Linked DNA regions of Rattus norvegicus. The protein of the gene in region 2 interacts with the protein of the main gene of each other region in a pairwise test. Links are inferred from orthologs where the notes say so. Each region holds a gene or a part of one and is shown on either strand. Other genes may lie near its edges.

Evidence for each region.
Region 1: the proteins of Pom121 (region 2) and Cep76 interact in binary tests that used the Homo sapiens proteins (3 or more experiments, as listed by UniProt). The two-hybrid records come from large-scale screens. The link is inferred for Rattus norvegicus from reciprocal best matches to the Homo sapiens genes POM121 and CEP76.

The regions. Positions count from the first base shown.
Region 1 is NC_086036.1:63,454,304-63,457,952, reverse strand, and holds part of Cep76 (centrosomal protein of 76 kDa), read left to right. Parts: intron 1-1,362; coding exon 1,363-1,529; intron 1,530-3,071; coding exon 3,072-3,405; intron 3,406-3,649. UniProt on the Homo sapiens protein: Centrosomal protein involved in regulation of centriole duplication. Required to limit centriole duplication to once per cell cycle by preventing centriole reduplication.
Region 2 is NC_086030.1:26,919,931-26,923,579, forward strand, and holds part of Pom121 (nuclear envelope pore membrane protein POM 121), read left to right. Parts: intron 1-502; coding exon 503-674; intron 675-1,884; coding exon 1,885-1,976; intron 1,977-2,645; coding exon 2,646-2,719; intron 2,720-2,995; coding exon 2,996-3,120; intron 3,121-3,224; coding exon 3,225-3,327; intron 3,328-3,649. UniProt on the Homo sapiens protein: Essential component of the nuclear pore complex (NPC). The repeat-containing domain may be involved in anchoring components of the pore complex to the pore membrane. When overexpressed in cells induces the formation of cytoplasmic annulate lamellae (AL).

The DNA.
Region 1 (3,649 bases), on a different chromosome or scaffold from region 2:
TTTTATAATTTTATTTATTATGCATATCATTCCATAATTTGCAGGTAATATATAGATAAAATTTCATTGGTCCTGTTCTTTTATGCTAAGAACAGTTTTTCTATTGAATTCATAGCTTTTTCTTATTTTATGTATATGGGTACTCTGTTTTCATGTACGCCAAAAGAGGGAATCAGATTCCATCCAGCTTATAATCCACCATGTGGTGGCTGGGAATTAATCTCAGGACTTCTAGAAGAGTAGAAAGCGTTCTTAGCTGCTGAGCCATTTGTCTGTCCTAGAACTTGCTCTGTAGACCAGGTTTGCTTCCAACATATAAGAGATCCTCCTGCCTCTGCTTCCCCAGTGCCGGGGCGGAAGGCATGACCCCCTATACCTAGTTTGCTTTGGCTTTTTGATGTTATTAAATGAACTTTTGCATTAAATGCCTCTTAAATTTTATTTCGGGTTTTTTATAACAAAAATCTCAGGAAGAAAACATACTGGCTCCAAAAGTTTTCATTAAATATTATGATAAGGGTGTATAGCTCAGTGGGAGAGCATTCCTGGGTTCAGTTTACATCACAGCAAAAAAAGGGTGGGTGTTGGGGGAGGGGTAGTTAGAACCATAGAACCAGAAATAAAATTTTGAGGGAAAGAATTCTTCATTTTTATATTCAGTCACTAATTTTGCATGTAGCCTATAATAATCTTATACCTAAAATATCTGTCCATTTAAACATATCTAATAGATGCCTATACTATGTGGCCAGAGATGAATTTGAACTTCTGGTCTACCTCCTGAGGGCTGGGTTTACAGATATGTACCATCTGGCCTGCTTGTGGCGTGCTGGAGACCCAGGCTTTGTGCGTGCGAGGCACTCACTCTACTCTGATCTTACCGAGTTTTATACTGTTTTTAAGTTAGACACAGTGTAATGAGGGGTGGGCGTGGAGACATTCCTGTAATCCACGCATTCTGCCAGAGAGCAGCCATCAGCAAATCGAAGGCTAGTCCTTGCCAGATAGTGAGAGCCTATAGGAAACAGTGCCACAACACAGAAAGTCAGTTCACCCCAAAAATAAACATCTTATTGTTTTATTGTTCTTGTAATCATTTTACCTACCTTAAAAGTATATATAACACTGTTGAACTTGTTTGCTTAATTTGAGCACTTCATTAATTTGCATCTCCTACTGAAGTATTTTTCAACTTGCTTGTCCATCCCCTTTACCTTATAAATCTTCACATTAGCATATTTGTCTCCTTGTTTTAGATTAACACTGGATAAAAAATTAAAGTTGAAGTTTTTATTGATCTTTTAAACTTAGGTGTTACTAGAACTATGACTACATACTAATTTTACTGGACTTTCTTTCTAGGGTGATTGTGAAGACCACGCTAACCTGCTGTGCAGCCTTCTTCTTGGATATGGACTGGAGGCCTTTGTCTGTGTTGGGACGAAGGCCAAGGGGGCACCTCATGCATGGGTTATGACCTGTGGAACTGATGGGACCATCATGTTTTGGGAGAGTTTAACAGGGCACAGGTCAGTCAGCTAAGTTTACAAGGAGAGTATACCGCAGGGTTAGGGCCAATGAGATGGTTCAGCGGGTAGACACAAGCAGAGAGATAGCTAGGTCCACACACCTGTCCTCTGACTTCCACTCGCATGCCACAGCGTGAGAAAACTTAAATAAAACACAGGCATTATTGTGATGCTGGGGATCAAACCCAAGGCCCTGCAGTCATTCACTCATTCATTCACTCATTCATTCATTCAGTGTGAGGAAATCAGGACAACTTGCAGACTTGATTTCTTCCTCCATGTGGATTCTGGAGCTCACACTCAGGTCGGGAGGCCTGGCAGCATCTTTCCACACTGAGCCTCCGAGAAATTGTTTTTCTTGTTTGGATGGAACTCAGAAGTACATGTTTATAATCTTAGTTATTAGAGGCTTTTTGACATATGGTAGCTAAGTAAATGACTTTTAGGAGAATACTATGTACTTCTAAAATATTTACTATCATGCTATTAGTAAAATACATATGATATATTGACTTTTCATTTTGTGTGATTGGCACATTTATTTTCTGGTGATTATTCCTAAGACTAAAAATGAGTTCAAGTTGAAAATCATGGTTTAGTTTGAAAATCTGAAGTGGGCACCAACTCTGTTCTTCTTGGATGTTCTTTCTTGTTTTTCCTTCATCTTGTGTTAAGCGTTCAGTGTTGTAGAGGGCTGGGCCGCTTCCCTATTTTCCTAAGTTCTGTTTCTCCCTAGCTGATAATCATTTTGAATAGTCATGCCTAATATTATACAGGTAAATTATTTTAATTCTTATACTCTCTGGGATAAACTTTCTTGATCTTCACCATAGACATAGAATATTTCCTTCGTTCTTTCTTTTCTTCAAGACAGGGTTTTTCTGTGTCGCCTTGGCTCTCCTGGAACTTGCTTTGTAGATTAGGCTGGCCTTGAACTCATAGAAATTTGCCCTACTCTGTCTCTCTCTTTTTTCTTTTTTCTTTTTCTTTTTTTTCGGAGCTGGGGACTGAACCCAGGGCCTTGCGTTTGCTAGGCAAGCGCTCTACCACTGAGCTAAATCCCCAACCCCTACTCTGTCTCTCAAGTGCTGAGATTAATGGTGTATTCCACTGCCACCCAGCTTAGAATATTTTCTATTGTTAAAAAAATAGAAGTTGGTTTTTAAAGATGTGCTCTGTAGATGAGGCAGAGTATTCAATTGGGGAGGTGGCTCAGTAGAGCGTTTGCTGTGCAAGCATGAGTTCACATCTTCAGAACTCACGTAAAAGCTGAGTGTGGGCATGTCCTATACTCCCCAGACCTGTGAGTAGGGAAGACAGCAGGGCCCCGGGGATTCTGTGACCATCTATTTTACCCAGAACTGTGAGCTCTGGGTTCAGGGCAAGACCTCATCTTCAGAAGAAGGAAAGTGGACAGTGTCGCAGTGAGACACAGTGTTGGCCTCCCATCTGCACAGAAGCGCACACATGTGAGCAAGCAAGAGTAAGAGAACTCCTTTATCTTTAAAGATTCTCATAGTGCAAAACTGCCATTTCTTTTAGGTACATCCACAAGCCTACGAATCCTGATGAACCTCCTCTTGCTGAGCAGCCCAAACCCCTGTACCCCTACCGAACAGTCGGCTGCGTTTTCAACCATCAGACGTTCCTGGGGAACTGTCAACCCTCGGATGCAGTAGAGACATGCGTATTTGATTTGAATGATGAATCTAAGTGGAAACCCATGAGCGAAGAAGCAATTAAGTCTGTGTGTGCTCCAGGTGCTACTACGTCTCTCCCTCCCTTCCCCCCTCTGTGCGCGTCCACGATTGACGCGTCAGCCACGAGCAATGAAATTGAAATGCAGCTAAGGCTGCTGGTGTCGGAACACAGAAAGGTAACCAACACGAAAGCAGTTGTAGCTTCATGCTCCCTTTTGTTGTGTTTATTTTCTAACTTTTCCTTTGGAATTGTTAGTTTATGTGGATAGTTATTTTGCTTGTAGATCGCTATGAATACCACTTGCATGCCTGATGCCCTTGGAGGTCAGGAGAGGGCTCTGGATTGAGTTGCGATTACCAACCGCCGTGTGAATGCTGGGCAATAAGTGCACGTAACCAAAGAGCCAACTCTCCACCCCA
Region 2 (3,649 bases):
GCACTGTCTCAAAGCAACACAGGTGTCTGGGAGCTAGCTAAAGCGGTGGAGTGCTGGTGGAAGGAGGGGACATTGCTGGCTCTGCTGCAGCAGGATGCCCAGGTGAGAGAGAAGAAGCACACTGCCACAGTTGTCCGTGAACTGGTTTATGGTTGATGCGGGTTGCCCTGGGAAATGGTAAGGGGACCATACCGTAACAGGGCTAAGCAACACAGAAAGGACTATGGGAGATTTCTCTTTTTGGTTGGAGTCTCAGGACAGAGTAGTTGGTGCTCAACTCTTGAGGTTTTTTTTAGCAGCTTTATTGAGGGATCATTGACAGATGTTAAACTGATGTCCCCTTGATGCCACAATCAAGGTGTAGCTCTTCCTGTTTGTGTTTCCCATGCTGTGGCTTACCCAGTCACTTTGTCAGATACAGGCGGCCATATCATCTGTTGATAGTGCCCTCGGTCACACACCTGCCTGCAGTAGCCTATGTCCTCCTCTTCCTTTCTGTTAGGCCTGGCTCCCTGAAGAGAAGTCTGGCTTCCCAGAGCTCGGATGACCACTTGAACAAACGGTCTCGCACCTCCTCTGTGAGCTCCCTGACTAGCACATGCACAGGAGGCATCCCCAGCTCCAGCCGCAACGCCATCACCAGCTCCTACAGCTCCACCCGAGGTGTCTCACAGGTGGGTCTCCATGAGCAAAGGAGCAGACCTCCCTCCTGCTTTGCACTGAACCTGGCTCTAGCCTGAAGTAGCAAATAAACGAGATCAGTGGGATAAACAGCAAGCAAACCTGGTACAGAGAGCCTGCAGATAGAGACTGAAAAGCAGTGCGGTAAATGGGACTGAAAGAGTTTGTTCAGTGTGGAATATAAAGGAGATTTATAGGCAACTAGAATTTAGTGTGAGTTTTGATGCATGAAGAAGTTGTCATTCTTGTTTAGAGTTAGTTAGCGTCCATAGGTGGGGAAGCCAGGCAGCCCCACTGGCAGGCGTGCTTGGGGTTGAGTATTGGTATTGACACTAGGAGCTGCACAGGCTCCTGCAGGTAGATCAGTCGCCCTTTGTGTTTTTCCTTTTGTTTTTGAGACACGGTCTCATGTGTCCCCTGGCTGTCCTGAAGCTTGCTGTACCTCAGGTTGGGCTTGAACGAGCAATGAGCCTCCTCTTTCTGCCTCCTGAGGATTAGGTCTCCAGCTTGCACCTCCATACCCAGCTGGTATTTTATATTCATATTCATATTCATGGGGTGTCAGAATCTGTAAAAGTGCAGGGTGTACTTGTTATTGTAGGTGATTTTTGTTGAAATAATGAATACAAGTATTACCTTTTTATTTTTTTTTTTAATTTCTTTTTTTTAACTTATTATTTTGCAGTGTGTGGTGGAATACATGGTCTACGTAGTAAATTGCAATCAGGGCTATGCAGTAAGACATGGTCTTAAAAAAAATAAAAGAAAAGAAAAATTATTTGGGCCTCTGAGAGTTTAGGGGCAACATATGCATGCAGGTGCCCAGAGGCCACCAATCTCCTAGAATAGGATTATAGTACTTGTGAGCAGTCTGGTGTGGAGGCTGGGAACCAACCTGGGTCGTCCTCAAAAGCAGCAAGTGTTTCTTAACCACTGAGCCAGCTCTCCACACTCTCAAAAAGGTTATTTTTAGTTTTGCTGTAGTTGTTTGTTTTTCTTTTTAGTTTTTTCAGACACAGTCTCTCAGTAAAATAGCCCTGGCTGTTCTAGAACTAAATATGTAGACCTGTCTGGCCTTGAACTCAAAAAATCCACCCTCCTTTGCCTCCCTAGTGCTGGGATTAAAGGTGTGTGCCTCACCGTCTGGCCAGTTCAGAACATCTGCCAGTAATGGTCTCAGATGTGTCTCTGCTTGACTTGCAGCTGTGGAAGAGGAGTGGTCCCACCTCTTCTCCCTTCTCCAGCCCAGCTTCCTCCCGCTCCCAGACACCAGAGAGGCCAGCCAAGAAGACAAGGTGATCATCATTCCCTCCTGGTCACTTTGTATGGACGGGGCAATGGGCTTAACAGGGATTAGCTGGTGGGCTGCTTTTTCTGACTCAGCAAATCAAAGAGTCAAACCCCAGAAAAGTAGCAAAGAGCCTGCTAGAGTTATGTCCCTGTCCTACAGTGAGAGCAGCTGATGGCTGGAGTTCCTTCTCTGTCTCATACTCCACTGGGAGTGGTGCAGAGTGGACCCGGTCAACAGGGAGCCTGAGTCTCTCGCCCCAGTTCACCCTTCCCTGGAGCTCAGCTCCCTCAAGGATCAGGTCTGTCTGTGTCTGGCCCCACCTCCCTACCTGCCACCCAGCCTTTTTTTATTTTGTATGTCTGTCTGTCTGTCTTGGGCCTGCTTCCTCACCAGTTCCTCCTTGTTCCTGGCACTAACCTACCGTTAGAGCCTGAAGATGTAGTCTGGGACCCTGGACTTGGCAGGCTTTGAGTAAAGCTTTGCAGATCCCTGTTCTGTATTTGATTAAAGGCTGGTTGTTCATGGCCTCTGTCAACTCATAGTGATATGCTGACACCTAGAGCTGTGGTTTTTCTAGACTTTGCCTGTGTAGGAATGTGCAAGTGTGTGTGGGGGGTGCCATGCAGCCTCCAGGCCTTCCCAAGTAAACCCTAGCTTTTCACAATCTCCACAGAGAGGAGGAACCATGTCACCAGTCCAGTTCTTCAGCTCCCTTGGTGACAGACAAGGAGTCCCCAGGAGAAAAGGGTAAGTAGAGAAGCCATGGGAGCCGAGAGTGGCATCTCCAGTGGAAGTTAGCCACTGTGAGGCTTGGAAGATAGTTGTAGCCCTTTGGAGGTCCAGCATAGGAAGAGTGTCCACTGCAGAATATGAGGACTGCCAGGCCATGAGCTCAGGGTTGGGCTCTGAGGAGTGGGGTCACAGCTGTTCCGGAAGCAGTCAGAAACAACACTAACACAGAAAACAATCTCTTCCAAACTGTCTTGACCTTACTAGGGAGGCCAGCAACCCTTGTTTCTGTAGTTACAGATCCAGCCACGGGGAAGCAGCAGAGCCTGTGGACTTCCCCACCCACACCTGGCAGCTCCGGGCAACGCAAACGCAAGATTCAGCTGCTGCCCTCCCGGCGAGGGGACCAGCTCACCTTGGTATGTCTTATCGATCCCTCTCAGCTCTTTTAGTCTTAGGGAGTCTGGGGCAGGTTTCCACAGCTTCTGGGGTTGGTCTAACCTGTCTCTGTTTGCTTGGGCAGCCTCCACCCCCTGAGCTTGGCTATTCCATCACTGCTGAAGACCTGGACATGGAGAGGAGAGCCTCACTGCAGTGGTTTAACAAGGTCTTGGAGGATAAGACGGGTAAGACTGTGGAGCTCAGCATGCTCTGTGTGTGTTTCAGCTTTCCTGGGGAGAGAAGTTGTAGAATACTTGATTTTTCCATTTAGTTCTGAGTCTCATCTTCCAAGACTGCCTTCAGAGTCATAATACTGCTGCTTCAGCCTCCAAAGTGCAGGGTTTCAGATGTGTGCCATCACAACCAGCTCTTGGGTCTTTGTCCCCACTTGTTCTACCAGGGGCCTTATTACCAGGAGCTGTCACCAATACTTTCCCATGGGAAATGGGAGTTTTGAATTGTGTGTGAAAATAGAGTTACTGTGTAACTGCTTAGTCTCCCATTCAT